3 linked regions of the Mytilus edulis genome follow. The protein of the gene in region 1 purifies or fractionates together with the protein of each later gene. This does not show direct contact. Links are inferred from orthologs where the notes say so. Each region holds a gene or a part of one and is shown in the gene's direction. Other genes may lie near its edges.

Region 1 (11,064 bases):
CAATTAGATATTTCTTGCCATTGCGCAATACTGTGCAATTGAAAAGACTTGCTATTGCACAATACTTAATATAATAATTTTAGATCCTGATTTGGACCAACTTGAAAACTGGGCTCATAATAAAAAATCTAAGTACATTTTTGGATTCAGCATATCAAAGAACCCCAAGATTTCTATTTTTGTTAAAATCAGACTAAGTTTAATTTTGGACCCTTTGGACTTAAGTGTAGACCAATTTGAAAACAGGACCAAAAATGAAGAATATACATACACAGTTAGATTTGGTATATCAAAGAACCCCATTTATTCAATTTTTAATGAAATCAAACAAAGTTTAATTTTGGACCCCGATTTGGACCAACTTGAAAACTGGGCCAATAATCAAGAATCTAAGTACATTTTTAGATTCAGCATATCAAAGAACCTAACTGATTCATTTTTTGTCAAAATCAAACTAAGTTTAATTTTGGACCCTTTGGACCTTAATGTAGACCAATTTGAAAACGGGACCAAAAGTTAAGAATCTACATATACAGTCATGACAGTTAGTTTCGGCATATCAAAGAACCCCAATTATTCAATTTTGATGAAATCAAACAAAGTTTAATTTTGGACCCTTTGGGCCCCTTATTCTGTTGGAACCAAAACTCCCAAAATCAATACCAACCTTTCTTTTATGGTCATAAACCTTGTGTTTAAATTTCATAGATTTCTATTTACTTATACTAACGTTATGGTGCGAAAACCAAGAAAAATGCTTATTTGGGTCCCTTTTTGGCCCCTAATTCCTAAACTGTTGGGACCTAAACTCCCAAAATCAACACCAACCTTCCTTTTGTAGTCATTAACATTGTGTTTAAATTTCATTGATTTCTATTTACTTAAACTAAAGTTATTGTGCGAAAACCAAGAATAATGCTTATTTGGGCCCTTTTTTGGCCCCTAATTCCTAAACTGTTGAAACCAAAACTCCCAAAATCAATCCCAACCGTTCTTTTGTGGTCATAAACCTTGTGTCAAAATTTCATAGATTTCTATTAACTTAAAATAAAGTTATAGTGCGAAAACCAAGAAAATGCTTATTTGGGCCCTTTTTGGCCCCTAATTCCTAAAATGTTGGGACCTAAACTCCCAAAATCAATACCAACCTTCCTTTTGTGGTCATAAACCTTGTGTTAAAATTTCATAGATTTCCATTCACTTTTACTAAAGTTAGAGTGCGAAAACTAAAAGTATTCGGACGACGACGACGACGACGACGCCAACGTGATAGCAATATACGACGAAAAATTTTTCAAATTTTGCGGTCGTATAAAAATGAATTGGTATTGAGTTCCTTCCTTATATATTTTAGTAAACTGATAAATATATATTTTATTCAAAGTCTCATGCATACAAGACCGGAAAAGGAAGTAGATTTCTGCGCAGATGTGGGGATTTAAAAAAGTCTGAAAAAAAAAGTTAACAATTTTGAGTTTAGTAGAAAATTCTCACCAATTTATTCATTTTTTTTTCAATTTGTCTACCGTTATTGGGGACTTTGTCCCCATATTACATACTAGCATTATACCCGACATAAATCATTCTGACCACCAAACATTACATTATTTAATCAAATAAATGTTAAAGCATTCTTACACCATGAGTCAATATATACATTATTTAGGCAATCCATCCAAACACCAGGGACATACTCTACTACAACTTATAGGCTGCATCAAAAATGGATTAAAAATAAGCTCTTTGAAAGGAGCAGGGTTTATTCTTACTTAGAGGTCACTTCTAGCAAAAATTGTGACATTTTAATCATCCTTCGCATTGAGTACTATATTTACACAGTTATGCCTCGTTCACACGTTCATTTCATTTGAATTGAATTCGAATCTAATGCAAATTGAATTCGCTAATCGTGTTCACACACTCTTCCTTTTTAATTTGAATTGATTCGAATTAGCTAATTCCCATTATCCAATTTGCATTAGAAATGTGTTTTTGTTAATTCGAATTAAAAGTTAACGTCGTTAGGACAGTAAAGGGATAATTTTGATGTGCACATTGCAATTCAAATTAGAATTTACCGTTTGGATGTTACTGTATCGAAGGCAAATTAAGGTTCATCATAACAAACGGACATTAAAATTAGTTAATGTGAATAGAATTCGAATTACGTGTGAACACAGCATTAGAGCATCCATATAAGAAAATTAAAGATAATGTTAAGTGATAGATAAGGGTTTATACAAAATATTCGCTTATATTCCACACTGTGACTCCATGATCACCTTTTCAATATTTATCAATAACCATAAAATATTTCTAGTCATTTACCTGAGGTAATGATTTACCAGCACTTAAATTGTATATTTTCACATTGTTTGGATTAGAAACTTGCATATTAATTGCGTAAAATAATAATACAATCACACGTGCAGTTGTTTACATTTTTGTTCAAAGGGAGATAACTAATAAAGATGTATCTACAATGTGCCTATTGGTCCCGGGTACATACCGAGGTAATTATGAATTATGGTTTGTTTTTGATTCGGTTAGATGAAATAAAATAAAACATAATCTCTTGGTCAGACTACTATAACACAAAAGTAGAGTTGTCTCAGATTCTTATGAGATATGAACTCTTTATCGATTGGATAAATTACGTGCTTTTGATGGTCATTTCAATTTGGCTGATAGTTATGATTTTTCTACTCTGTACACTACACTACCACAATCTTATCAAAAAGACATTCTGTCTGTATTCCATTTAAAATATCTGGTTGTAATCATTTGCTGCAACTCATACATCTCTAATGGAAAAGGAAAATATGTTAGATATACTTACTGGAACTGTGATGAAATTATTACGGCTGTAAATTTTCTCATTGAAAATATATATTAGCGTTTAAGACAATAAAGTTAATTGACAGGTTGTATATATTCCTATGGAAATTAATTGTACCACTTTAAATATGCACCTCATGAAAAGGTACAAAAGGAAAATCATCTTCCAATAATGGAAAATTTATTTTTATTTTATTTCACAACTTGTAAGCAATGTGCATGTCAATAGTAGAATTCTAGATTTTAATGAATGTCATCTATGTATGAGTCACACAGTAAGACTGGAAAATAGTTTAATCTGGGGGTCTCGTTACCACACAATGATCATCCCTCTACCAACTTTTTTTCATAATTACAATGATTTGGTTAATTCTATCTAAAAACCGGATACCACATCCTTGTTTTTACGCTGATGTTGTTATTATAAGCACGAAAAATATGACACTATCCATGCTTCAACTATTTCATCATTGGAATCAAATTGTTCTTAAAGGCAGATACATATTATCCACTTTATTAAAGGTTATCAATTTAAAACAGCAGTATTTTTTTAACAACGGTACTGGGATATCAGTACTAACTTTGATTTTGTTTTTAAAAATTAAAACATAATGAAATATATATTGGAACTTGTTATTTGTGTACAGTTCCGCAAATTCATGATCCAATATTCTTTTGACACTGTTTACTTATATTTTTGTATCTTATACACATCTTTATATTTGTATATTCTATTTATTGAAGACCAAAAATATTGACTGTGTGCCGCACTATATAAAAAGCACCTAACTGTTCAAGTTTTAATTAGTTGCAGCCCTCAAGCTTCAATAATGTTATTGTCTAGTGTGTCTGACACGTCCGGCATCCAGATTCAATAGCTACACATATCACCTTCCACATGTTCCATTTAACCTGAGATTACTATATTGATCAGCGGTTATAGAACTAGGGATCACATTTAACTAATCACTTTGAGAATTTACCCTGTAGGTTGACTTTGCAAGTGTGTGTGTACATATCCTATAACTTATAATCGTTGTACATAAGGGAACTGATGCACGGTAATCTGTAGAGAAGCTAGATACATGTTGTAAAACCGGTATCATTCTTTTGTCGTGTGTTACATGCAGTTCTTTTCTAGTAGTTTGCAGGTACGTTGTTTAGTCGGTAATTCTGACGTAACAAGAACTACCCGTTTAACTATTTCAGTTTTTGTTGTTTTTGTTGAGTTTTTTGTTGGTTTTTTTTTTTTTACAATTTCTGTATCGATAATAAAAATCTCTCTATTATCTATAATTGAAAATGTATTGTATATTTGTCAAGGTTCACTGTATTAAATGCATCATATATAAATTGTTGCTTTCTCAGAAAGATACAAACATATGTATGATGACAAAAAGTTTTGCATCAAAATCATCAGATTATTTAAATTATTGATAAAGATACATTTTGTATCAATTAAAGAATGAATTATAAGAATTATAGATAAAGTTAAAAGAGTTAAAATTGACGTTTTATACATATTTTTTGTTGATATGTAATACATATTTCTTGGGATTGAACTTGATATTCATATGATGAAGATATAATCTTTCAATCTGTTTAATCGAAGTCTGGAGCTGGCATGTCAGTTACTGCTAGTAGTCCTTTTATTTATGTATCATTGTCAGTTTGTTTAGTTGCTTTTGTTAACTATTCTGACATCGGACTCGGACTTCTGTTAAACTGAGTTATACTGTGCGTATTGTTGCGTGTTTGTTTTTTCTACATTGGCTTAATAGAGGTATAGGGGGAGGGTTGAGATCGTTGTGTGTTTGTTTTTTTCTACATTGGCTCAGTAGAGGTATAGGGGGAGGGTTGAGATCTAAAGAAAACATGTTTAACCCAGACACATTTCTACATTGGCTCAGTAGAAGTATAGGGGGAGTGTTGAGATCTACATTGGCTCAGTAGAGGTATAGGGGGAGGGTTGAGATCTAAAGAAAACATGTTTAACCCCGACATATTTCTACATTGGCTCAGTAGAGGTATAGGGGGAGGGTTGAGATCTAAAGAAAACATGTTTAACCCCGACACATTTCTACTTTGGCTCAGTAGAGGTATAGGGGGAGGGTTGAGATCTAAAGAAAACATGTTTAACCCCGACACATTTCTACTTTGGCTCAGTAGAGGTATAGGGGGAGGGTTGAGATCTAAAGAAAACATATTTAACCCCGACACATTTCTGCGCCTGTACAAAGTCGGGAGCCTCTGGCCTATGAAATTGTTAGTTTGTATGATTTTTAATTTTAGTTTCTTGTGTATATTTCAGAGTTTATACAATACAATATTTTTATTTTCCAAATTAAAGGGCCCATTAAGAGCATAACGTGATTAATTACAACATGACATAAACATTACAGAGTAATTAAAGAAACATAAAATAATAATTCAAATGCATGAGGAAAGAATCAGTGGTCAAGGGGAGATAATTTTGATATCTTTTAAAGTATTTAAGTAAACTATTTTTTGATTTTCTAAGTTGCAGGCCTTTTTAGTTTAGTATGACCCATATGTGTTCTTCCGCCTTTGTCTGCTCTTTGGTCGGGTTGTTGTCTCTTTGACACTAAGCTTTCCCCATTTCCACTCTCAATTTTATTTTAGTCTGTTTTTAATGTATAAATCATGTTTGTTTGGCTTTTTTTATTATTAAATTCAGTGACTTTCTAATAAGACATTATGTTGGGAATCGAAAACAATGTTTTATATACACATGTATGTACAATCTGCATGCTGAGGCCTGCCTCCGGTTGTGGGATTTTTTCGCGAGGTTGAAGACGCATTGGTGTCCTTCGGCTGTTTTTTCTCTTTGATCGGGTTGTTGATCCTGTTCTCCCCACTTTCATTCTCAATTTTATGTTAACAGGATACTGTTAAGTAATTTTATGTTTTCCGACTTCGTCTCTTTTCCAGGTAACACCTGCCAAAGGATAAAGTAAAAAAAATATTAATGTAAATCAGTCGTTGATTTTGGGTTTGAATACGGGTTTGTAATACATATAATAGAAATATCTAAAGAAAAAATCTATGTCACATAAATGTTTTAATTTATTTTTCGGAAAACAAACTTTGCATTTATGGCCAATTTTGATTTACTACCTGACAACATCATATTAGAAGTTTTGAACTATTTACCTGTTAAAGAATTATGCATAGCTGGAAGGTAATGATTTGCTTAAATGCGTCCTCTCACTCACTGAACGAAGATTTGTACAGTTCTAAAGTGAGACTGTCAGAGCCTGTCCCTGTACAAATCCTTTTACTGAATGATTCAATTTCTCAAATAAAAGTGTATGGTCCAGCAAAAACTTATCAGTGTCAAGCATCACAGCTTGTTTTATTTTTAAACTATATACATATACATGCTCTTAATTGACTGTGTCAGTGCTCTAACTTGACTGTGTCAATCTGTCAATGCTCTAACTTGACTGTCAATGCTCTTACTTGACTGTCAGTGCTCTAACTTGACTGTGTCAGTGCTCTAACTTGACTTTGTCAATGCCCTAACTTGACTGTGTCAGTGCTCTAACTTCACTTTTTCTGTGATCTAACTTGACTGTCAGTGCTCTAACTTGACTATGTCAGTGCTCTTACTTGACTTTGTCAATGCCCTAACTTGACTGATTCTGTGCATAACTTCACTTTTTCTGTGATCTAACTTGACTGTGTCAATGCTCTAACTTGACTATGTCAGTGCTCTAACTTGACTGTCAGTTCTCTAACTTGACTGTGTCAGTGCTCTCACTTGACTGTGTCTGTTCTAACTTGACTGTGTCAATGCTCTAACTTGACTGTGTCTATGCTCTAATTTGACTGTGTCTATGCTCTAACTTGACTGTGTCTATGCTCTAATTTGACTGGCAATGCACAAACTTGACTGTGTCAGTGCTCCTACTTGACTGTGTCAGTGCTATTACTTGACTATGTCAGTGCTCTAACTTGATTGTGTCAGTTTTCTACCTTGATTGTGTCCGTGCTCTCACTTGACTGTGTTGATGCTCTAACTTGATTGTGTGGATGCTCTAACTTGACTGTGTAAGTGCTCTAACTTGACTGTGTCAGTGCTCTCACTTGACTGTGTCTGTTCTAACTTGACTGTGTCAATGCTTTAACTTGACTGTGTCTATGCTCTAATTTGACTGTGTCTATGCTCTAACTTGACTGTGGCAATGCCCTAACTTGACTGTGTCAGTGCTCTAACTTGACTGTGTCAGTGCTCCAACTTCACTTTTTCTGTGATCTAACTTGACTGTGTCAATGCTCTAACTTGACTATGTCAGTGCTCTAACTTGATTGTGTCAGTGCTCTAGCTTGATTGTGTCGGTGCTCTCACTTGACAGTGTTGATGCTCTAACTTGAATGTGTCAATGCTCTACTGTGTCAGTTCTATAACTTCACTTTGTCAGTGCTCTAACTTTACTTTGTCAGTGCTCTCACTTGACTATGTCAGTTCTTTAACTTCACTTTGTCAGTACTCTAAAACGACTGTGCTAATGCTCTAACTTGACTGTGTAAGTACTCTAACTTGACTGTGGCAATGCTCTAACTTGAATGTGTCAGTGCTCTAACTTCACTTTGTCAGTGCTCTAACTTCACTCTGTCTGTTCTCTAACTTGACTGTGTCAATGCTCTAACTTGACTGTGTCAGATCTTTTACTTCACTTTGTCAGTACTGCAACTGGACTGCATCGATGCTCTAATTTAACTGTGTCAGTTCTCTAACTTCACTTTGTCAGTGCTCTAACTTGACTTTGTCAGTTCTTTAACTTCACTTTGTCAGTACTCTAACTCGACTGTGCTATTGCTCTAACTTAACTGTGTTGATAACTTGACTGTGTCAGTGCTCTAACTTCACTCTGTCAGTTCTCTAACTTGACTGTGACTGTGCCAATGCTCTAACTTGACTGTGACTGTGCCAATGCTCTAACTTGACTGTGTTGATGTTCTAACTTGACTGTTTCAGTGCTCTAACTTCACTCTGTCAGTTCTCTAACTTGACTGTGTTGATGCTCTAACTTGATTGTGTCAGTTCTATAACTTCACATTGTCAGTTCTTCAATTTGACTGTTTTGATGCTCTAATTTAACTGTGTCAGTTCTCTTTCTTTCACTTTGTCAGTGCTCTAACTTCACTGTGTCAATGCTTTGACTTGACTGTGTCAGTGCTCTAACTTCACTTTGTCAGTACTCTAACTTGACCATGTCTGTGCTCTAACTTGACTGTGTCAGTTCTCTTACTTGACTGTGTCGGTGCTCTAACTTGACTGTTTCAGCGCTCTAGTAATATTTATGTTTATTTATAATTCCAAAAGACAGAAAGATTAAGTATAGTATGGAAATGCAGGTTTTATATTTTACTTTTGATATGAATTTATTGATATTTACAGAGTGTGTAGAAGATGGAGAAGGATAACCAGAGATTACACATTATGGAGACATGTAGATTTAACACCCTACAGATTAGATTTGAAAAAGACGTGGAAGGTTATCAGGTCACATTTCTCAGAATGTCTGATCAGTCTGAAACTTAGAGGAGATTTTAACAGTATGTATTGATTCTTTTTCACATAATAGTTAATTAGGCATTTTTAATGTAGGCCCTGGTATCAACCCTCAACCTTCTTGTATATGAGCCCTCAGCTTATGCCTTGTACTGTTGTGCATGATATGGGAGTCTCAAGGCAATACCCAGAGGCGGATTTAGGGGGGGGCCGCCCCCCCCCCCTTTTTGGGAAAAAATTTGGTTGCTTATATAGGGAATCATTGAAGCGTGACTGGAGTGGGCCCCCTCTTAGGTCAGTCAGTGGGCCCCCACTATGTAAATTTCTCTGGATCCATCACTGATACCAGAACTGGTATGTGAAAAGGACATTTTATGTTCTTAGAGAATGTCTTATTAGTCTGAAACTTTTATGTAAAATTCAAAAGTTTATACTAACTAAACTTCTCTGAAGTGAATTGATTAGCAATTCTAAAACTGAGAGGTTTTAACAGTAAGTATGGACTTTTCTGAATGTCTCATTTGTCTGAAAAACCTTGGACCAATAGGTATTATCATGTATTAATTTTAGGGGGGGGGAAGATAAATTTTTAAGTTATAACTGGATACTCATTTTGGCAATATGAATAGGCAAATTTACTGTTTTATGAATGTTTGATCAGTCTTGTCTTAACACTGTTAAAAAGCAAAAATATATTGCTATGGTCAATGAATATGGGTTCAGTTTCCAACTCAGAGTAGATTTACAGACTCAGTATGAAACTCACAGAAGATATTTTAATTTAGAAATTTGTTTTAATCTGTAAACATTTTTAACAGCTGAAGCTGAGAGGATTTTATAAAATCTTATATCAATCTATTATTATCTGAATGGTCTGTTTTTCCAAACTGATTTATTTTTTCCATTGTAGTGCCAATAAAGGATAAAAACCCAGTATCAGATGCCATGCTTGCTGACTTGAATGAGAGATGTCCCAATATCAGGCATATAACCTTACAAAACTGTAAACTTCAGAACCTAGAGATGAAACTTCCACCAAGTCTGACTTCTATAGAATTGTATCAGTGTTACTGGAAACCTAGATGGTTTAAACATCTCCATACCATGGTACCCAACATCAAATGTCTCATACTAGAACATACCTCAAGAGTAGATAATTTTGATTTAGACGATGTTTGTAAAATAACCGGATTAGAGTCTCTTAATTTGAATGCTTGTTACAGAATTAATGAGAAAGGGTTAGAAAAGATTGCAAAAGAACTGATTAATTTACAAACTTTAGAAATAGCACATTGTAATTGTACAGATCTCATTTTACATCACATATCACGTCATTTGACAAAGTTAGAAACTCTGAACATCAGGAATAGTAAAGTTACTGATTCAGGTATTTCTACTATAGTGTCAGGACTAAGCAATCTAAAGCATTTAAATATAAATAAATGTGATTTACTGACGCCATCTGGTTTGGAATGTCTGAAGTCTCTAAAATCATTGAAAACTTTAGTGTGTGACATTCCCCACATCACATCAACGTTAGAGACCATATTAGAAAATAATGGCTGTATTATAACAGCATTAAATCCTAACAAGCCAGGGAATATTTAAGGGCCTCTTTGTTATCTATTTGTTTTCCTGAATATGAATGAAATAATTACCACTGAACATTTTACGCAAGCAATCAATTATTGTTTTTCATTTGTTTCCAAATATATTTGACCTTTAACTGTAAAATCATCTCTTATTACTACATTTGCCTCTAAATATAAAATCTATCATATGATGCTGTTTTAAGCTGAAATTAGCCAGCATTGTTGTATTATACAATAATATGAAAAAGGATTGCTAAAAATTCTCAAAATATGTTAGAATACTTACACTCTTAAGTACTGTTACTTGAAAATATACTAGGGATGAAATAGTTTCCTGAAATTCTACTCCAGGTGGCTCTTTGATTTCACAATACATTGTACAACTTTGGATCATCTGTTTAGAGATTAAATCAAATTGGCATAGGAAATCACTGCCCATTTCTTGTTTAGCATAAGATCCTGGCTGACTCCTGCTTCACATCTGATCAGGACTGAAGTGTCTTGGAGTTTGTGCATATCATGTTGACATATATCCATTTAATCATTTATCAACAATTCTATTTAAAAAAAAAGTACCGGTAGTATGGTTCGATTACTATAACTATATGTTACTCTTAAAAGAACTTTGTCAAATTTTGAATTAATTTTTCGAGATTATGGCTCTATGAATATGTCCACAAATAGTGCTATCCCAGAATGCTTCTATCTTACACCAAAAAAGTGAATCCATGTTTTTGTAATCCATCCAGCTTTACATGAAGAGTACCACTATATGTGCTATTGTGATGTGTGAAGACATGAAATTATGCAAAATGAAATGATTGTTTTTTTATAATTTATATTTACTGGATTATTTACTACTCAATGCTTTATTTAAGTTTGGTACATATATGTTTGTTTTCCTTCTTTGTACTTTTTTAAACTGGCAAATGTTCAATGGATATATGATGCAGTGGCGGATCCAGAAATTTTCATAAGTGGGGGCCCACTAACTGACCTAAGAGGGGGCCCGCTCCAGTCACGCTTCAATGATTCCCTATATAAGCAACCAAATTTTTTCCCAAAAAGGGGGAGCCCGGGCCCCCTGGCCGACCC
Region 2 (10,714 bases), on another chromosome or scaffold:
ATTAAAACAAGAATTTGTGCATATGAACTTGAGGCTTTTAAAACAGGGTAATAAGAAAAACTCTAAACACAAGTACTTATTCTGGGCCTATCACAACAACAGTGTTACTCATGATCAATTTCTATTTTAAACAAAACTTACAGTCATGACAATCCTTTTTTATTCTGAGGTACAAAATGTATATCAATATATAAATGTATGAAGATAAAATGACACTTGATCAACATATCTATTTAATTTGCTTTAATTGCTGAAAGCCTACATGAACATTATGCTGTAGGAATGTAATGATTCGGATGCTGCATACATTTACACAACTTTTTCAATATAATGTTAATACAAAGATATAAATAAAAAAATGTTTTTTCATAATGTTACAAAATTAGCATAAAGCAGCAACCTTATCTTAAAATAAAAGAGAACTCCACCTAACAAATGTATGCATTTTTGTTGTTGAAAATGATGCTAATTCATGACCCAATCAAATGACAAGTCACTGTCCGGAATATAAACGTATTTACACATTTAGTATTTAGCTGTATCTTGCCTCTGAATGACCTTAGATCGACTCTGAATCACCATTTGACGTCAAGCAACAATCACTTTTAAATTGTGACGTCAAATATTTTAAATTATGATGTCAAAGTTTACGGGTACAATGTACCTGTGTGATTTTACGTAATGGCGGACAAATTTGCATACAAGTGTAAATACGTCTATTGTCCCTAGTTGATGTTTTACAAATCTCAGGTGCGGATCCAGGATTTTGAGTGAGGGGATTAGAACAGACAAAACACTTTCATTAACCACAAATGTATCTCCATAAAGAAGACCCAGACATCCCCTGTAAATCAGGCTTAATCAGACTCTGTATCTCAACGCTTTGCATTATTTGGAGAATTTGGTGGTGATAATTGCAGAACTTTATATGTTTCTTTTCAATTCATTCACAATTTGAAAAGACTCATGAGAGAATTTGTAATATTGTGTAGACATTTGCCTCACTGACATACACCTTACGTCCTCTTTTATTCCTATCAAAATTAAAGCTATTGTAATTTTTCTATAAATTGTAAATTAGATACAAATGAAATTTAATTTATTTTTTCTGTTATTTAATTTTGTAATTACATTTTTTTTGTAATTATAATTTTAAGTGCATGTATATTGTCTTTAATACATTATTGATGATTATTGCCATGATTACAAATAGTAAAAATATAATTTTTTATCTTTATCTGTTCATAATAACTTCTTATCACACAACATATTTCTGGCAATTTAATATAAATATCCTTCACCATTTAAAAAATCTTCTATCAAAAGGTAAAACTATTCATGTCTCAGAAACCTTTAAATGTATTTTAACTATTGATTCATGCAACCATATTACTAAAGGATTACTATATTCAACCGTCAAGACCCTCCCGATCTTTATAATTTTTACACACAGGGCCAAAAAAAGCATTAGAACTTATGTGTATCATACTACCAAATAATATATTCACTGACGTTATAATAAGATTTCAAAGATGATTTTCAAAATAGTGGATAGAATGGTACCAATAACAGACCAAGCCGATTCTCCCTCTTCCTGCTGAGTCCCTGCACTATACTGTGATGATGAGTAATCATATGCTTGGTATCCTTCTTCATTATTATCTTCTCCATCTAATTTGTTATATGAATGAACTAATTGTGCGTAGTTTGCATCATCATACTGTTTTAAGAAGTATATTGACAATCTGTATTCGGACATTTTATAATTAGGATGACCATAGATTCCTATACCTACTGGTCGTTTCATAGTACTTGGGATTTCTACTTCTTCCATCCCACAGGTGTTTGATTGTATAACATAATCTTCAAAGTTTGGAGATAAAGTATTATCAGATATGTATAAGTCAGCATCCCCTACTATTGATTCTAATGTAATGTGAAGACGTCCCTGAGTACTTAGTCTGTAATGTGTATAATTTTCTGCACCAATCGTAGCTGTTAAGGTTTGAAGTAGATGTTCACAATAAACCAAGTTCAGACCCCAATTGGCCCACAGCAAAAACTGTAACACTATGTGCTGAACATCCATTGTTTTAACTGTCTGAAAATGAAAAAGAAACATACTTATGTTTTTTCTACTATTAAAAGATTTTCTTCTGTAATGTGGATTTTTTCCTCCTTACAAGTTAATAAATATTATGTTTTGTTTATCTATTTATCCAATAAAATTTCTCATAAATGTAACTGTTTGTTTTAAAAAATCATTTACTTAAGTGTTAAATTTTGGGAGGTGTATAAAGTTATATCATGCACTTTTGAAATGATACACATATAATATGTATTATGGTAATAGAAAAATTATGCAAGGACCTAATTAAGACCTGAAAAAGGATAATACAGTTTCTCCCTGTTACTTCTGAAATCCTATAATATCAGTGATTTTCCTGCCTTTATTTTGGGTACGAATATAGGCCCCATTCCCAATTAGAAAAACCATATTTTTTTCCCAAAATGAACACTGAAAATTCCAAATTTAATCAAGTTTATCATTCTTATGAAAAACCCTGATGATATGTATTAAAATGAACCAAGAAAAGAAAATTATATGTTAAAATTTGGTCATGATAAAAAATTGGAATTTTAAGAAATAAGCTCTTTAAACTAGGATGAAAACAATGATTTATTTTTTCCCAATTCACACATTATGTGACATTTTCCCAATTACCTAAGGCCAAGGCCCCATTTGAAAAAAGGTAGGAAAATCACTGAATATCAAGGTCAGTATATCCTTATAAATTGTCAGATATTCATAAGGACACACCAATTTAATTTCTTGCAATGCTTGAAAAGTAAAGGCGAGCAATTATTATTTTTTTTAGGTAAATATAATTCTGGTATTAAATGGTCAAAACATGTCCAAGAAATTTGTAATATTCCTGGACTTTAACATATATCATTTTCTTATATATTTTTCAATATAAGTGGACCCCTTTTAAAAAAAAAAATTGTATCAAATATGATGTATTTCTCCCCATTTTAAGTTAAATATTTTAAGTTTTTCTATTTTATAATATTTTTCAAAAATATGAGATGTATGAAGAGGGAAATAGACATGATTACATTTCCGGATGTGTGAAGCTAGAATATTAAAAAAATAAATAATTTCTATTTTCTATTTAGAAAAAAATAGGTGCGGGCTGGTCCGTCGAACAAGGAATTAAATTGGTGTGGCCTAACCATCTTTTTTCACGAAAAAATTAGACTTATTATTTGCAAAATTTTCCCAAAAGAACTATACATCTATCTGGTATTATATTGTCAAAACATGTCCAAGATTTTTGGTATATATATATATATACCAAGACTTTTTTAGTACAATGTATTAAAAATAAGAGGACCCCCCTTGTTCTAAATATAATGAATTTTCCCATTTTTAAGTTGAAAAGCTGTTTTTTTCTTTCTTTTATCACAGCAAACTGATCCCCTTTTCTGAATTTCTATTTTTCCTGCACAAGGACAATCACTCAGACACTAGCTGCGGAACCCTAGCTCTTAGGTCCCATAGATGTTCCGCAAAATTAAAAATAAATAAAAAAGGACCTTAAGAGTTACGGTTCTGCAGCTTTCGCAAAATAAAAAAGGACCTTAAGAGTTACGGTTCCTCAGCTACTCGGACACTTGATGAAAATTTACAGTGCAGGGACACAGGCAATCCCCTCTATCTGGTAAATAATATCATAAAGGGGCATATAATTCTGAGGGACATCCCCTCTAAAAGGTATATCTCTTATTTGGGGGGGGGGGGTCCCAATCTGTTAACAGACCACTTTTGAGTTACCTTCTCACATGAAAAAATCGTCAATTAATCATACTGAATTACTGATTACTCTGACGTCCAACGGCTGTTTTGCCACAGCCCCAGCTTGTCTGGCAAAACAGCCGGTAATCTCGGACTATTGTATAACATGCATATAATATTTATACAACCTATTGATATTAGGTGCCAGTTATATATATATATATATATATTTAATATTACTTTGCATAATAACAAACTGTTCTTTAAGTTGTATTGAGTCTTTTCAAGGATTTGTATATTACTATACAAATCCTTGGTCTTTTCCAGTTGGGTTTGTTCTAATAAATGTTTCTGTCTCATATTTCATCGACAGCCCGTCGAACGTGATAGACGCCGTATTTAATTTGTATCTCAAATAATTTCCAGCAGTACACATTTTAACAAATATTAAAACATATATACAATATTTCAAATATCAATGTATCCACAGTGTATTCGCTTAAATTTCTGAATGTTACCCTTCATAGATAGTCAAGGCCGTCCAGGAAAAACCAACAATCGTTCACATGATATATGAATATGAATGGAAACCTGTATCCGTGCCAATGCTCGAGCCTATCTCCGGATAAAAGTGGCGGACCACACCTTTAATTAGCAAATACATATACAAATACAAAATCAGAAAAAACAACTTTAATTGCAATCAGCAATTAAAGATAAAGGAGCTTACTATGTTGAACGACGGCTAGAAAGTGAAGCGCTTGAAAAACACCAATATATCGAAAGACAAAATTCAACTTCTGATTGGTCAATTTTGTCATGCCTTATGAATATTTATGAAAACGTAACGACAATACAATATTTTCCCGCTTTACTATACGAACCGCGGGAAAATACAAGTATTACCTCTACTCCATGACTAAATATACATTGTAACTAAAACACAAATATAAATTTTTTGACGGGATTGCTTCCCTTAGAAAAACTTAGTAGATACTTAGTCAGCCGTAAGCGGTTGAGCTAAGGAAGTACTTCTTTAGCTCAGTCGGTTAGAGCGCTGCCTTGTAACACAGAGGTACCGGGTTCGAGTCCCGGTGGAGACAAGCAATTTTGTAATGAAATTCGTGCTCTCCGGTTACATTGGCGCCCAACAAGAATAACCCACGGTTAGAAGAATTACCTAGCCAGGTTAAAATATAAATATAAAAAAAGATGAAAATATCATCATTATAGAGTATAATGACTCTTGAGGTGGGGGAAGTGTGACGGGATTGCTTCCCTTAGAAAAACTTAGTAGATACTTAGTCAGCCGTAAGCGGTTGAGCTAAGGAAGTACTTCTTTAGCTCAGTCGGTTAGAGCGCTGCCTTGTAACACAGAGGTACCGGGTTCGAGTCCCGGTGGAGACAAGCAATTTTGTAATGAAATTCGTGCTCTCCGGTTACACATTGTATTTGTAAAATAATATATATTGTCACCATAAAGGATATCTTGAATACTTCAAGCTTATTATAGTCTTATATCTAAATGACATAAAATCTATTAAGTGTATCATACTTAAACTTATAATCTTATTTCCTATTTTCTTCACCAAGCTATCTCTATTTACTTGTGTAGGGGGAGATAATTTACCAGTAATTGCCATTTCGGGAGATTTTTCATGAACTGTCAATGTTAACATTATGATTTGGCTTTTGTTGCATAGATTATATGTCAATTGGTATAACTTATCAAATGTCATATTTTCTAAATACTGTTTATCCTTACTTTTAAGATTTTCTTCGGGCACTTGTACACTTTCGTTTTTCCCCAGTGTGTACACACGTATTGATGACGTCAGGCACACAAATTGAAACATAGAACACATGGCCAGCAAAACAAAAGTTTTGGCAACTTGTGAAGCATGGAAAACCATATGTTTCCCAACATTCCATCACAAGAATCTTTGGTAAATGTTATTTAACAGTAGAAATGTCTATCAGGAAGTTGAAAGTCCATGTATATAAAAAAAAAAAGAGAAGCACACAAAAAAACTAGACATTTTCATTCAAAGTCTCAAAGATATTTTTGCCATTGGCATTTGCACAGTCATGACAGTGTTACTGTACAGTCCATGCATTGCTCCATTCATCTTATGGACACATTTCAATATTTTTTAGAGAGGGAAATAAAATTCTAAACCACTGACATATTATTAGCAATAGTCAATTGAGTCTAGTCCAGACAAGGGCACGTACTGATCTTCACTCGGCTGTGGCTGAACACATTGCAGGTGGTGTTGCCTCAATCTCACAGAAGCAGCTTCAAGTATTCAATTCATGCTGGACTCCATGCTGAGGATAATTCAAAAATTTGCTGTGCGAAACTTGGGATGAATTGAAAATATGTTGGTGTCTCGTAATAAATTAGGGAACTAAAAAAAATGTACATCTAAACTTTGTCAAGAGAAATCTAAAGGTCAATTTAGAAAATAGTTCAACAAAAACCTATACAAGACTGGTCAAACCTAAGCTTCGAATACAGTAGCTGCATCTTGTACTTGCATACCAATCCAGGGATGATTCCAGGTGTTTTCAAATGGGTCCCTGGAACATCAAATTGGGAATTTTTATTCTAATTGGGAATTTTTTAAGCATAACATCTAAGACGAAATAACATTATTTTCCTGTCAAAACGGAAAATGTATATTATTAGGTTTAACCTGTACACTGATGTTCATGTAAGTTGTAACATTTTGAATAATTCTGGATGGGCTACTGTTATTACATGAATATCATTGAACATGATGCACTAGTCTATCATCTTAGCTATAGTTACCTAGGCCTATAAAAAAGACATATATTCCAGCTAACATAAACCACTGACAAAAATCATTCATCGGGTATTTTTTCAACAGCAGGTCATTTCTATAAATTTACCTTGATTCAAATGGATTTCAAATTGAACTGGTAAATTGTTGAATTCAGATTACAAAAGTTCATATAATTAATTGATAAGATATTTAAAGCATTGAACCAGTGTTCTTTAAAATTATTTGGATCATCTTCAAAACTTTTGAAATAGTTCCATAATGATGACATCGTATTTCATGAATGGTCTATCATCAACATTATTTACAAAAAACGCTCAAACTTTTGTCTTTTGAGGAAATAATTTCTTTTACAAAACAAGTTTTCATCATATTATATAACCGGCTCTGCTGGGCGATCTGCTTTTACGAGATCGGCGCCCATTAAAATTTATCCCTCAATGTTATATCAAAATTAGAATTTGCTCTCTGCCGAGGTCTGCTTTGACACCCATTTTTATCAACCTCCAGGGCGATCGGCTTTTACAAGATCGAATACTCCAATAACATATTAATCAATTGAATTTTGCTGCTAAAATTGTTTGCCACATGTTGACATAATTAAATCGTTGTTAATAAAATGCAATCATAAACAGTTTAACCCCGCCGCAATTTTGCGCCTGTCCCAAGTCAGGAGCCTCTGGCCTTTGTTAGTCTTGTATGATTTTAATTTTTAGTTTCTTGTGTATAATTCGGAGTTTAGTATGACGTCCATTATCACTGTACTATTATGCATATTTTAGGGGCCAGCTGAAGGACACCTACGGGTGCGGGAATTTTCGCTACATTGAAGACCCATTGGTTGCCTTCGGCTGTTGTTTGCTCTATGGTCGGGTGGTTGTCGCTTTGACATATTCACCATTTCCTTTCTCAATTTTATTTTTTACAGAGTTTGTCTTTAGTGCCGTGTGGAGACAGTAGAGTGCCTCCCCGTGCTTAAGGTTTATGCTCTTATATTATACTAGATTATGGAGTGTGTGTCCGAGCGAGAACTTCTCTATGTTCATTACTTTAGGAATATCTATCAAAAAGTAGTATTTTAATATTCAGCCCCATTCATCTATTTAGTCAGACGTCAGTCGCTACCTTGATATACCCTATCTTTTGTTAAATTTGTCGGGTAACTTATGACAATAAGCATTTGACGTCTTGAGCCGAACAGTTTTATCATTTTTACACAATTTAATCTACTGTGTGATGGTTCATATTCTGGACGCCAGTCTTTGCTCCTTTGTAATAAATCTACATACCAAAAAACAAATATGAAGCTTAGAAATGGAAAAATATTAAATACTAAACTCGTTCAAAGGGTATCTACACGTCTCAATCTTCAGAATCGCTTATCTAAAAATACTACAATAGCTAACGTTTTTAACAATAAAAATCGTGGTTACCCTTCTATCGATAAGTGTCATGCCAAAAAATGACTTACGTGTCCCCGTCTTTCCACCAACAATACAGTAAGGTCCACATTTAATGGTCGCACATTTTCTCTAAATTTTGAAACTGATATTACTTGAAAAACAAACAGTATTATTTATTTACTCACATGAAACAAACCGGGATGCGGTATTCAGTACGTAGGTGAAACTGGGCGATATTTATCTAAACGCACGCAAGAACACCTGTATCGTTTTAAAAGACCCAATAAATTCAAAAGTATCATTTATCAACATCTTAAGAAGCACAGTCATCCTATTAAATATTTAACAGTTCAACCTTTAGAAGTAGTAAATAAGCAGCCTGGTGAATCTCATTCCAAGTTTGTACGATCACGAAAAATAAATGAATTAAATTGGATTAAAAAATTACAGACAGTCTACCCTCTCGGTCTTAATGATAATATCATGGGAATTGGCAATATATCAAGAACCGATTCTGTTAACATTTTGGATATAGTTTCTAAAACTGTTCGTAAAAATCGTTCTCATGGACGCAGAAAAAATCGCAATCAAAGAAAATTTCGGACCAACCATACAAATATTTCGGACCTAATTTCCATTTCAAAAAATAACGGCAGACATTATCTGTTAACCAAGCTTTGTTCTTTACCTATAAATAAATTAAATAAAATTTTAGAGGATTGCAACACAATTTCATATTACAGTCCTAAGTATGAAATTGTCCAAATTATAATGGCATATTGTTATTCTAAACTGTTTCCAAAAATTGATCGCCCTGAAGATCATAAAAAACATTTTATTAAAATAAAGTATGTCAATAAAGGTTTTGATTTTGTAAATATTGCCGGTATTTTTAACGACCATTCTGTTAAAGACCAAATTCCTGGATATTTTGATAATACTGAACTCCCTCTCATTTGTTATATTTACAAGAAATCTACCCGAAAATATGTGTTTAATTATAGCCAATTGTGTAAAGATGTAAATATCACTGAAAATACACCTATGTCGTGTAATTGCAGTAATTCAGAATACACCTATGGACCAATTTCCCATGTTATAACAGGAGACCTTAACATCGTTCGCGACCGAGAGTTAAAATCATTCCTCAGTAAAGGACCTAAATATCGTCCCCCGTCAACTATTAACTGGAATGAGTGTCGTAATATCATCAACGACTCACTCCGCGCCTACTGTTTGAAATGGGTAAAACGGGAAAAAGCTGACAAAAAATCTTTGGACTCTTTTTTTAATTCAGTAATGAAGATAGTTGATATTCGAATACAACATTTTAAAGAACATTTTACCCTCAACAAAAACTATAAAAACCCTATTTCGCGTATCAAAAATAAACTAACAGAACTAGCCAAGGAATTTGTTTTTGTCCCGGCTGATAAAGCTGCTAATAATATCATTATTGTTTGACGTAAATTTTATATAGAGGTTCTGCAAAAGGAAATCACGAATTCACCAACATTCCAACTGACTTCATTTTCAGAAAACGACATCTGTAACAAACATAAACTTTTAGCTACTTCTTTACAAGCAGAACCAAACACAATGAAAGTCCCAACTATGTACTGGCTTCCGAAGCTGCACAAAAAACCTTACAAATATAGATTTATTTCATCTTCCAGCCATTGTTCAACTACTAAATTGTCTGTTTTACTTACTAGTACACTTGGTACAATAAAAAACCTGATAATAAATTGTTCAAATAAGGCCTTTGAAAATAGTGGAATTAATTACTTTTGGAGTGTCAAAAACTCGTTGGAAGTACTTGATAAATTGCATGCATATATTGGTGATTTTGAATCTGTTCAAAGTTTTGATTTTTCTACCCTATATACCACTTTGCCTCATATTCTTATTAAGAAAAAATTCACATCCCTAATTAACTGGGCATTTAAAAAGTCGGAATGCGAGTACATATGTTCAAACTCTTTTAGATCATTTTTTAGTAGCAATAAACAAAAGAACTATGTCAATTGGACATGCTTTGATACTATTTATGCACTTGAATTTTTACTTGATAACATTTTTGTTCGCTTTGGAGATTCCGTATATCGTCAAGTTATTGGAATTCCAATGGGGACTAACTGTGCACCACTTATTGCGGACCTGTTTTTGTATTGTTATGAGTTACAATTTATGACTAAAATTAGCAAAGACCCATCAAAACAACATTTGATACAAAAAATTTAACAATACTTTTAGATATTTGGATGATATATTGGCTCTAAATAATGACGACTTCAGTATGTATACTAAAGAAATTTATCCTGTAGAACTTACTTTAAATAAAGCTAATGATAACAATGACCACTGCCCTTTCCTCGATCTTGATATCTATATCATAAACGGGAAGGTTAATACAAAAATTTATGATAAAAGAGATGATTTTTCATTTCCTATTGTTAATTATCCATTTTTAGATGGTGACGTTCCCTTGTCACCATCTTATGGTGTTTATATATCTCAACTTGTACGATTCGCTCGTGTATGTAACAATGTATTAGATTTTAGCGAGAGAAATTTATGTATTACTGAAAAATTATTACACCAGGGTTTTCGATATCACAAACTGGTCAAAACATTTACTAAATTTTATCACCGGTATAAGGAAATAATTCGTAAATATAACTCAACATGCAGACATCTTATAC
Region 3 (10,714 bases), on another chromosome or scaffold:
AAAGCGCGGGACAGACGGACGACATAGGGATGGACAGACGAATGAACGAACGGACTACATACGGATGGACAGACGAATGAACGAAGGGACGACAAATGGATGGACAAACAAACGAACAAATGGATAGACAGACGCACAGACCAAAAAAAAACATAATGCCCTTTAATGGGGCATAACAATCAGTCTTCAAATCTGGATTAGGATTGAACTGCAAATTTGTAAATGAGGTATGTTTAATAACAGCAGGAATTTTGCCTTGCAACAGGTCACCTATTGATCCCCAAAGAGGTTTTGCAAAGATCCATATTTACTTTTCTATTGACTTCTTTGAGTTGTTTTTTTTTCTAAATTAATCTGAACTTACCCTGTAATACTGGTACTAATTTACCAAACTTCTTAGCTATATCCAAATCAATTTCAAATACTTCTTTCTCATAAGTTTCCAACTTTATTTGAGGCACTGAAATAAAAAAATAAAAAAAAAACATTCTTAAACATATTAAATATATAGATCTATATAGGTTATTATCATGAATAATAGTAGAAGGTTTATTTACAGTAGTTATAAATGTATAAATTGAAGAGATAAGGAGAAAAAATGTCAATATAATATATCATCATGATCATATTGTATTGCAATACAAATCTGATGGAACAAGATTTAAGTTATTTCTGCATCAGACTAGATCATCAGACTAGATCATGACTTATTGACTGACAAAAAAGTGTTATTGGACCAAAGTTGAATTACATACACAAAAAAAAAAAAAAAAAAAATCTGATAACTTTTTCAGTATTAATACAAAAAAGAGACATCCAAAAAAATGTAAGTAAAAAAAATAATTCTATAACATCATGAACATGGGATCTACTCTTTAAATATAAGTAAAATGAAAGAATTTTGAAGGTTTTTTTATAGAAAATAATTATATCCATTAATACAAAATCACCACGATCACCAGTTAATTTCACAACACAAACTTGTGCATTATTGATACATTAAGCTGATGTTTGAAAATTTTGTAGGCAATTGTACATTTATATTGCACCTCTATTGGGTTACTGAGGATTCATAAACTTGTATCTACAAAATTAAAAGTTCAACAATTTATGCAAATTTTCTTTTGGCTTGTAATGCAGAATTTGGCAAAACCACAAAATGAAATATAGATCTAAAAAATACAATCTTTCCATGAAAATAAAGGTATCCACAGTACATTAGAAATGTGCAGTATGTATCAACAATTTCTAAACAGAACTCCAATGTCGCTGCAAAAAATATGATTATACTTGTCACCAACAATAATTATAGGTAATACACTGCAAAGTTATGGATCTTCTGTATTTATATTTCTCTGGTTGCCTAACCATTTTTCTTATAAATTGAAATTTAAAGTCCGAAAATATATGTTACATGTACATGTATACATAAAGGAAATATTTTCAAAAAGTACAAATTTACAGCTTGTAAAAAACTTTCCTTGCTTTACATAGAGATTAATACATGGCCTTTTCCATATCAGCCTGGGTATCATCCCGAGACCCCCATATCAGCCCGAGACGGAGTCAAGGTGCTGATATGGGTCGAGGGATGATACCCAGGCTGATATGGAAAAGGCCATGTATTAATCGCTTTATCATATACTTCCGACAATAGTTTTATGTATAAGGCAAATAAACTAAAATGCAATAACTAAAACAGTCAAACACTTTATAAAGAAAATTAAAATTATGAATCAAAATATACTATAGTTGTCCAACAACAGCATCATTAACTCCTTATATATTTATGGTAACATTTCCTATAGAGGCATTTTGAAACATTGAAAATTTGGAAGAGTTTTACGATCATTACTACTCCATGTTTGTTGTTCTATAAAATGATTCATAATTGTCAATGGCATTTGTTAGCAAGTATTAAACTACCCACACAAAAGTTCCCGTAAATTTTGACGTCGTCATAAAAAACATCTGACGTCACAATGGAAAAGTAAACAACCGATACCGGAAACACTGGAAGTAACTTGCAGGAGAGGCTCTATTATGGGTTTTGTGCACGAGATGCACCTGATATGGGCTATCAGCCCGGGTGGGAAATTATGGCTTGTGTACTTCCGCTCATTACACATATGCAAATGCTATCATATCAATGCTAAGTAAAAATGTACATGATAAATAATTATTACAATTGACACATATGGTAACCACACTTGATAAACATATATATGTCCCTGTCTCCTTGCTTAGCATGTACAAGCAGTTAAATATAAGCAATGAATCTAGTCATTTCATACCATAACCATTTTGTACCATTAACAATGATATTTTGCAATTAATAAAGCCATTTCATACCAGATGGGCCAACTGTTACGTATACCATTTGTATCAGATATACATATAAATGTAAATATATACATGTATAATACTTACCAATTTTCTTGTACATTTTGTAAGATCTAGATATTTTGAAAAAAACACAGCCAGTTTGGTGATTTTAACAGATTTAAATTAAATACTTTAAGGTAATTAATGTTTAAGTACGTAAATTGCTGAATACCTTGATCTCACAGAATTTTATGAAATTTTGAAACAAAAAGAGCACATAAACATAGAAAAATAATGCCTTGATACTTTATGATATATATGTAAAGCAAATTTAATCATTGTTAATCAGTCAAGGATGTAACTTAAACAAGTTATCAGAGAAAAATAACACGCATGTGTTATAACAGACACTATCATGAGTTGTCTACTCTTTTTTTCCTAAATCTGTAGTAACATATGTTTGTTATCAGTTAAATATATCATAAATATTTTATCTTTTGCAGGCTCTTGGGAATTCTTGAAACTTTGCGCAGTTGATAACTAATTTTCTAATTCCATTAATACAATTTTGACCAACCATAGTAAATCAATGAGACAAGGCCTTTTAGGGAAAATTAAGCTGTAATATGTTACAAGGCTTAGTTATTACAGGCATGTAACTTATCATATGAGAGTAAATGAGACACTTGGGAATTACTTGGAATCTTGGGCAGTGCCTCATTACAAGTTCTGATCATCATTTCTTACAATGAATTGAAATACATTGTGATATATTTCTGAGCAAAGGCTTTAAAGAGATGTAGAGAAGCTGTAATAACACCCTTTGGTTATTGCAGGAATATATTTTCTGTAATAACATAGGTGTGCTGACTATGCATGACTGGAAAACTATGAACTGCTATATCTTTGCAAAGTTTAGTATACATAAAGAAAATTATAATATCAATAGAACTTGTGAAAAATTTAACAAAATAAAGTTTGTATATAACTGTTATTAACATGTATAATGTCCCTTTGAAACATGTAACATACAAATGTTATTATGGTATTTTGATATTTAAGACCACAAAAACGACATGTTTGTTATTTTTCTCTAATAACTTATTTTAGTTACACCCTTGACTGTTAATATTTATTAAAAAAATCAGAGTAAAAATGTAAAAAAAAATGTAAAGAATACACTTTCACATTAACAGTGTCAAAAAAGTAAAAATGTATGTTCATTATTATACGTAGGAACAATTTAAAAATTTTATTTTATCATGTTTATACCTCCCTTTTAAAACTAAAATAAACATAACTCTAACATTCTAACAACTTTACAGACTAAATGGACTAGCTGAATTGCCAGTATTGCTATACATAGCACTTGCAGCATTGAGCAGATCCAGCTTCATACACAATGGGTATTTATGGTTATAAATATATAATAATTTAACAAAATAGTTAATTCTTCTTCTTCTTCCAAGTAACAGTAAGGAACCGAATTCATATTGAATCAGAATCAATGTGGATTAATATGGATTGAAATTGAGGTACTTACCTTCAAAAATTCTTGCCCAAATTAACTTAACGGTTATTTTTGGTGCATGACGATAAAATGTACACTTTCTTTCAGACGATAAAAAAAAATAGACTTATTTTGAACGAATCTCATTAATTTTCTTCCATATTTGTTCCTATAATTATCTGAGACCTCTTATAATTCACGATAATGATATTTAGACAAATCAAGGTAAAGTTTTAATCGGTTTGATGCAAAAGATAGTAAAAAATAAACCATTTGAATCCTGACGGTAAAGCGCTCAGGGCATTATCGTCTATCCTCAAGTTCATTAGCCCCATAGGACGCAATTACGACTGGACACAATTACGAACGATTTCCAATGTTTGCCCTCTGAGATCATATTCCTTTATATTTAACAATAAATGTTTTTATAAATAAAAATCCTATTAAAATTCCCTTGTTTTCATGATAATACAATTTATGTGCACTTGGTGAAATGTTGATTACGATGACAAAATCATTCTGAAAATATTATAAGAACGGCAATCTGGCCTGAAAGTTTTATAAAAAAAACCATAAAGGTAAGTGCATATTGCCTTCTTTTGTTAATATATAGAAAGAAAAAGATCTCCTGATTCTGTTCATGTGCATGATGCCTTTTATCTTGCCCAAATAACCCCACAATTGACTTTTTTAGACGCTTTTGACCCTATTTATGGTCAAAAGAAAATATGTTAATTTTATTGAAAAGTCCAGAAAACTCCGAAAAAAATGTTGACCTATATAAAAAAAAATCATAGATGAATAATAAATACACCACCGAAATGGATAAACTTGAATTTAGTGCTCCTTTAAAGGAGAAACTTATACAAAAAAAAAAAAAAATCAGAAATCTTTCCTTTACACATGACCGACATTTCGTCTGCAACCACTGCTGAAGTAATTGAAGTAAAAAACAAACTTGTGCATCTTATTTTCCTATGAAAATGTGTTTGAGATAAAGGTTAATGTATGCTTTATCAATCTAGACTATTGTCATTGATTTCTTCTGCAAGATATATCAATATAGTGCTGTTCGGAATTGCGTCCATATGTGGCTCTCTTGACACGTAAAACGAGGTCACGCAAATCTTACTAAAGTATCCTAACGTGAATAAAAATTTATGTGGGATATGATGCAAAATGGAAAGCCTTCATACATCTTAAATTCTATGGTATAAAAAATTATAAAAAAGAAAAGTAGTCTACATAAAAAAATATTAATCATAGTTCAAAAATCGTCCGGTGAGGCTAATGAATTTAAAACCGTTAATTATAGACTTCTACAACTGAGTACAACATTACTATTTAAACAAAATTCACATGCTTTTAATGTAAATATTTGTAAAAGATGATGCTGATTTTTTATGTACTTTTAAATGGTAACTAATGTAAACAAAGTCAAAAAGTGCCTGACTATTTTTCTAAGTCAGCATGTGTAAAAAATAATCATATCACATGCAACCATTTCACATTATAAAAGATAGTGAAACTTTGATAAACTTATACTTTTTGCGTTCTGTGTCTTTCAATAAAACAAGTGTCAGCTAGCGTTTTGTCTTTTATTCAAGGGCAGTAATTCTATTTATATCGGGAATTTCGAGGTTGTTCGTCTAAATCAAGGTAGAGTACAAAACTATCCAAAAGGCAAAATAGATTATCGCCCCTTAATCACAGGAGGCGCTTATAAATTTTAGATTCAGCTCGTTTCCGATATATTTTTGTGTTGTTTCAGACGAAAGACAAAGATTTAACACCCCGTTATACACACAGAAGATCAGAGTAATGTCTTAAAATGAACTACACTGTTCTAAATTCAATTTGTTTTCCAAAATATTTACTGAATTATAGACTTGTATGCTCTTGCCAACAAATATGGCGCATTCTTTTTTGTTGACACCGTTTCTCAGACAAGTCATCTACAAATATAGACACATGTGTCATTTTATGTGAAAAGAGAATTAATTTCATTACTTCAAAAAACAATCGAACAAGATATTGATGATTTCAAAATTAAAATAGTCCCAAAAATGATATTCAATGTAGAATAAAATATATTGACTTTGCTGTCTTTAGTGTCAAAACACCAAATAAAAGTTTCCCCCTCTCAGTATCACATTACTGAGGGGGGATAGGATCTTTATGGGCACTGCAGGATCAGGTGTTTTTAAGCTCAGGATGTTGGGATTGAACCTTTCATGATATGGGAATTCTTTTTTTGATTTCGGGATGTCAGGATTTAAATTGATTAAATTCCCGACCTCAGGATTTCATGTTTTCAAACCCAGGATTCCGGGATCAGGACCTCTCCTGTCCGGCTGAATAAGTAATTTTTCTCTAAAGACTTGTAAAAAACGACAGAGAAAGGCAATTAATCAAAAGCTAGAAGATTTCAAACAGCTTTAGCTATCAAACTCTAATTATCTTTCATTGTTTTTACTTCTACCAAGCTATAATTTATCTACTTGTATTCTGTTTTAAACACATTTATAACATTTATTCCAATGAGCTTTGTAAATACAGACAGTATAAATCCATACCCGCCAACTGTCACTATTCGCGGGGGATTTCCCCCATGGAGGCTCCCAAGTGGAAATTTTGTAAGAGCAATTTTGTCCACTATTTTAAAGAAAACAATTTAACAATGGCTATGAGCTTGTTAAAGCAGGAAGAAACCAAAAAACCACATTAGAATATATTTGAAGGCCCCTTTGAAGGTTTTGTAGGACAATAAGAATCATCTTTCACGTAAAACCCCCATGGGCATTTTGAAAAGTTAGCAGGTATTTTAATCTTAAATACAATGTATATCACAATAAATCATCTAATTGCAACAACAAATTTAATTTAAATTGTGTCACTTTTACCATTCTTGAGTTATGCGTCTTTAGAATGTTATAGGCTAGTTATAAGCCTGGTACCTTTGATGATTAACATGACTATGACTAATTATTATCTTTTAGATGCCTAATATCAAGTTACAGAGTTCAGACGGAGAGATATTTGAAATTGAGGTTGAGATAGCCAGACAGTCTGTCACAATTAAAACTATGTTAGAAGGTAAACTGTTGAAGAAAAAATTGTTCCTCAGTCATATTTTGATCAGTGTACTGATAAAATCTACCATGTGTAGCGTTAAAGGCTAGCATGCATTATAAATTTGATTGAGAAAAAAAATTGTGAATAAAGCTGTAGAACAAGCACTACATAAGCAACTCTAAAAGCTCGACTTTTGTTAAAAATAGTATGAAACATGACTGAAAAAAAACTTAATTCCAGGTTACTATATATGTCATGTATGTAAAATTCATTACACAAATTTCACACATGACAAAATTTTATGTAATTGAAAAGAATTTATATAAATTGTTCCTCATCATCTAGAATGTGTCCATAATTAATTGGTATATTTATATAGCTATAGCTATGAATCATGAAATTGCAGCAACATCAGAGAACATTTTGCCAGGCCTGAGTTTTCATAAAAATATTGATACATTTATTATTAATAAAAAAATCGGTTTTAAATTGAAATTTGAAATGTTGATCAGATCAAGTTGTAATTTCTCATAATTTATTACTTTATAAACACATTTTTTATTGGAGGAAAATTTAATAAAATATAGGATTGGACTGATACATATTTATCTTCAACTGACATATTTCAAAAAATTATCCCTCAAGACACATATCTTTAAATGAAAAATGAGGGGGGGGGAGTGTATTAACACTGACATTACATTTTACAAAGATATGGTATTTTTATGCCCCTCCTATGACATGTATGATAGTAGAGGGGCATTATATTTTCTGGTCTGTGCGTCCGTCCGTCTGTTCATTCGTTCATCCATTTTTCTGTCTGCCTGTCCTGCTTCAGGGTTAAGGTTTTGGTTATGGTTTTGGATGAAACTGAAGTCCAATCAACTTGAAACTTAGTACACATGTTCTCTATGATATGATCTTTCTAATTGTAATGCCAAATTAGAGTTTATACCCCAATTTCACGGTCAACTGAACAAAGAAAATGATAGTTCGAGTGGGGCATCAATGTACTAAGGACACATTCTTGTCTATTTGTAGTCTAATGTGTATATTTATAGATCTGGGTGTTGATGAGGATGATGAAGAGCCTGTACCCTTGCCTAATGTAAATGCTGGTATCCTAAAAAAAGTTATTCAATGGTGCACATACCACAAAGACGACCCACCACCTCAGGAAGATGATGAAAACAAAGAAAAACGCACAGATGATATTTGTTCCTGGGACGCTGAATTTCTAAAAGTTGATCAAGGGACATTATTTGAATTAATATTGGTAATTTAACATTTGCATATTCAGCAGTTCTATAATCAGTCAGGGGACTTACTGAAATAAATGATTTTTAAATCACTTATTTGAGTAGCAAATTCAAAGTTTTGTCACAAATTGGGATTTTGTAGTTTTTTTCAAAATTTTAAACACATAGGTTTAAATAATATCTTTTAATTAGTAAAATTGAAAAAAATGAACTTTTTGCTTCTTTTAAGTAGCAAGGTTTATGCCTTTGATGCTATCATTTAGCTGAAAATTCTATTTTAGTTGAAATGCTATAATAATGGCTTTACATAATGAACTAATACTTTCTTAACAGATTTTTCCCAGCAGTGGGAGTATTTTTCCTGTAAAGTTCAAGGTTTTATCTTTCATATTATGTAATAAAATTGTACTGTTCGCGATAAAAATTTTACTGTTCGGGGGTGTTGAAATTAGTGGGGGTTATTAAAATAATGATACTTAAATAAGTGATTTTTGGGAAGGAAATTGAGGTATGATACTTAAACAAGTGATTTTAATGTCATTATCCTAGATTCAGTACAAGGTCATCACCTGAAATGACCTGGTCATCCTAGACAACACAGATGTTGGTTCTGATAAGTTTAGAAACATAATTAGTCCCTGGATCATTTGTATTCTATATTTAAAGCTACAATAAGATTAAATCACTTCTTCTAGTGATTAATTTGTACTACTTAAATAGGTGATTATTAAAGAAAGACAACTCTTACTTCCAACTTTTATGGAAATAATGTTACTTAAACCAGTGATTTAGAAAATTATTCATTTTAGTAAGTCCCCTGCAGGCCTGGGTCCATTACATTGCAATGTAATGCATTACATTACAATTACTTTGTGATTCTTCCATTTCAATTACAATTACAATTACATTTTTTCTCACATGTAATGCATTACATTACAATTACTTTGCCTGTGTAATGCATTACATTACAATTACTTTGCCTGTGTAATGCATTACATTACACATTACTTTTTCAATATAAAAACAAAAAGCATTTCAAAAACAGAGGTATATGTACATATGTATACAGTGTTAGGTACATAGAGTTCAAATACTGGTTAATTAATATGTCCATTGCACTTTATCATCATAAGTAGTTTAAATGTGATGCCATTAAGAGAACAGCGATCAGTTCTGTACACCTTTCTGGCGATACTTAAAAGCCTTTCTACAGGAGCTTATGTGTGGGAAATGGCTAAATACTTGATAGCTGTATTAGCCAAAGAAGAAAGGCACACTGAATTTGACTTCCATTATTCCAGTGCATTGATTGAAATTTCTTCACATGGCTCAGACAAGTAGATGTCAACATCATGTACTGCACCGTACCTGTTTCTATACCCTTTGATTGAGTAGTAGGAGGCATGAAACTGAAAAAGTCACTTTCAAGTTTCTTAGGTGGTGGTAAAAAATAAATAAATTATCATATAATTTTGTTTCTAACATTGATCACTTAATCATTAAGACATCATTAAGGATTTCAAAGGGATATAATAAATGTGTCATTAAAGGATTATCTTGTGAAATGCCTAAGGGTTCTGTGAGGACAAACATAAGTTGAGAAGATTTGATTGCAATAAAAACATTGTGATATTAAATTAGGTGAAATAACAACACAGACAGGACCCAAACCACAGTTTGGTTTAAAAATGTTCTTTGATATATTCAATATTTCATTGAAATACATGTAAGGTGTGTATAGAATTATGAAATTTTCCTCTTCATATTTTTTTCATTGATCTATATAGTTTTGTTTGATAATTTTTTTATAAGATTTTTCATAGACCATCAAACACCAAAATATTCCCATATCATATTAAACAAATATCAGAAACCAAGATCAAAGACTTGATATTTTTTACCATTTTAAATTTCTTACCTTAATGTGTGTTTTAAAGATTGATGTAATTTATTTAATACAGTAATTAATTTTATTCCATACTTTCTTTTGTTTTTGTTAATATTTTATTTTTATTATACAATATTCTTCAATTTTATCTATTTTACCAATTTGTAATGAAAAGTAATGTACTGTAATGGAGGCATTACATCAATTTTTAACTAAAGTAATCATTACATTACATGTAATTGTAATGCAGAAAATGTGCATTACAAATTACTTTGCATTACATCCAAAAAATGTAATATTACAATGCATTACAATTACAAATTACCATTACCCCAGGCCTGGTCCCCTGACTGATAATTGGGAGAAAATGTGTAATAAAAAAAGTTTATCAATAATCTATATTTATAATGACAACCTTTTCATAATTAGAAATTGTTTATTTGGGCTACAGTAGAAATTAAATAAAATATCATTTCAAAGACCAAGGCTTTACTACTCTGGGATGGTGTCAGTTCAGTTGAAATGTGTAATTGAAATGTGTAACCAAACTTCAAACAAATTTTGCAAGCTGTCTGAAGTAATTAAGTTGAAATGCATTTCTAGAATACCATGTAAATATATTTCTCTAATTCTATCAAGATTTATCCTTTTCCTGAC

What was found.
Region 2: the proteins of F-box/LRR-repeat protein 12-like (region 1) and serine/threonine/tyrosine-interacting protein A-like purify together in Homo sapiens (affinity purification with mass spectrometry; 4 studies listed by BioGRID and IntAct, with this or other methods). This does not show direct contact. The link is inferred for Mytilus edulis from reciprocal best matches to the Homo sapiens genes FBXL12 and STYX.
Region 3: the proteins of F-box/LRR-repeat protein 12-like (region 1) and S-phase kinase-associated protein 1 purify together in Homo sapiens (affinity purification with western blotting; 10 studies listed by BioGRID and IntAct, with this or other methods). This does not show direct contact. The link is inferred for Mytilus edulis from reciprocal best matches to the Homo sapiens genes FBXL12 and SKP1.

The regions. Positions count from the first base shown.
Region 1 is NC_092344.1:119,867,406-119,878,469, forward strand, and holds the start of F-box/LRR-repeat protein 12-like, read left to right. Parts: upstream 1-5,878; 5' UTR 5,879-5,954; coding exon 5,955-6,040; intron 6,041-8,263; coding exon 8,264-8,421; intron 8,422-9,287; coding exon 9,288-9,985; 3' UTR 9,986-11,064. Other genes in the region: nucleolar protein 10-like, read right to left, coding at 2,329-2,394. UniProt on the Homo sapiens protein: Substrate-recognition component of the SCF (SKP1-CUL1-F-box protein)-type E3 ubiquitin ligase complex.
Region 2 is NC_092346.1:58,811,080-58,821,793, reverse strand, and holds the start of serine/threonine/tyrosine-interacting protein A-like, read left to right. Parts: upstream 1-5,615; 5' UTR 5,616-5,700; coding exon 5,701-5,745; intron 5,746-10,714. Other genes in the region: UPF0669 protein v1g209471-like, read right to left, coding at 1,514-2,089. UniProt on the Homo sapiens protein: Catalytically inactive phosphatase. Acts as a nuclear anchor for MAPK1/MAPK3 (ERK1/ERK2). Modulates cell-fate decisions and cell migration by spatiotemporal regulation of MAPK1/MAPK3 (ERK1/ERK2).
Region 3 is NC_092350.1:58,848,268-58,858,981, forward strand, and holds the start of S-phase kinase-associated protein 1, read left to right. Parts: upstream 1-5,520; 5' UTR 5,521-5,653; intron 5,654-6,834; coding exon 6,835-6,931; intron 6,932-7,971; coding exon 7,972-8,186; intron 8,187-10,714. Other genes in the region: S-phase kinase-associated protein 1-like, read right to left, coding at 365-460, 2,431-2,446. UniProt on the Homo sapiens protein: Essential component of the SCF (SKP1-CUL1-F-box protein) ubiquitin ligase complex, which mediates the ubiquitination of proteins involved in cell cycle progression, signal transduction and transcription.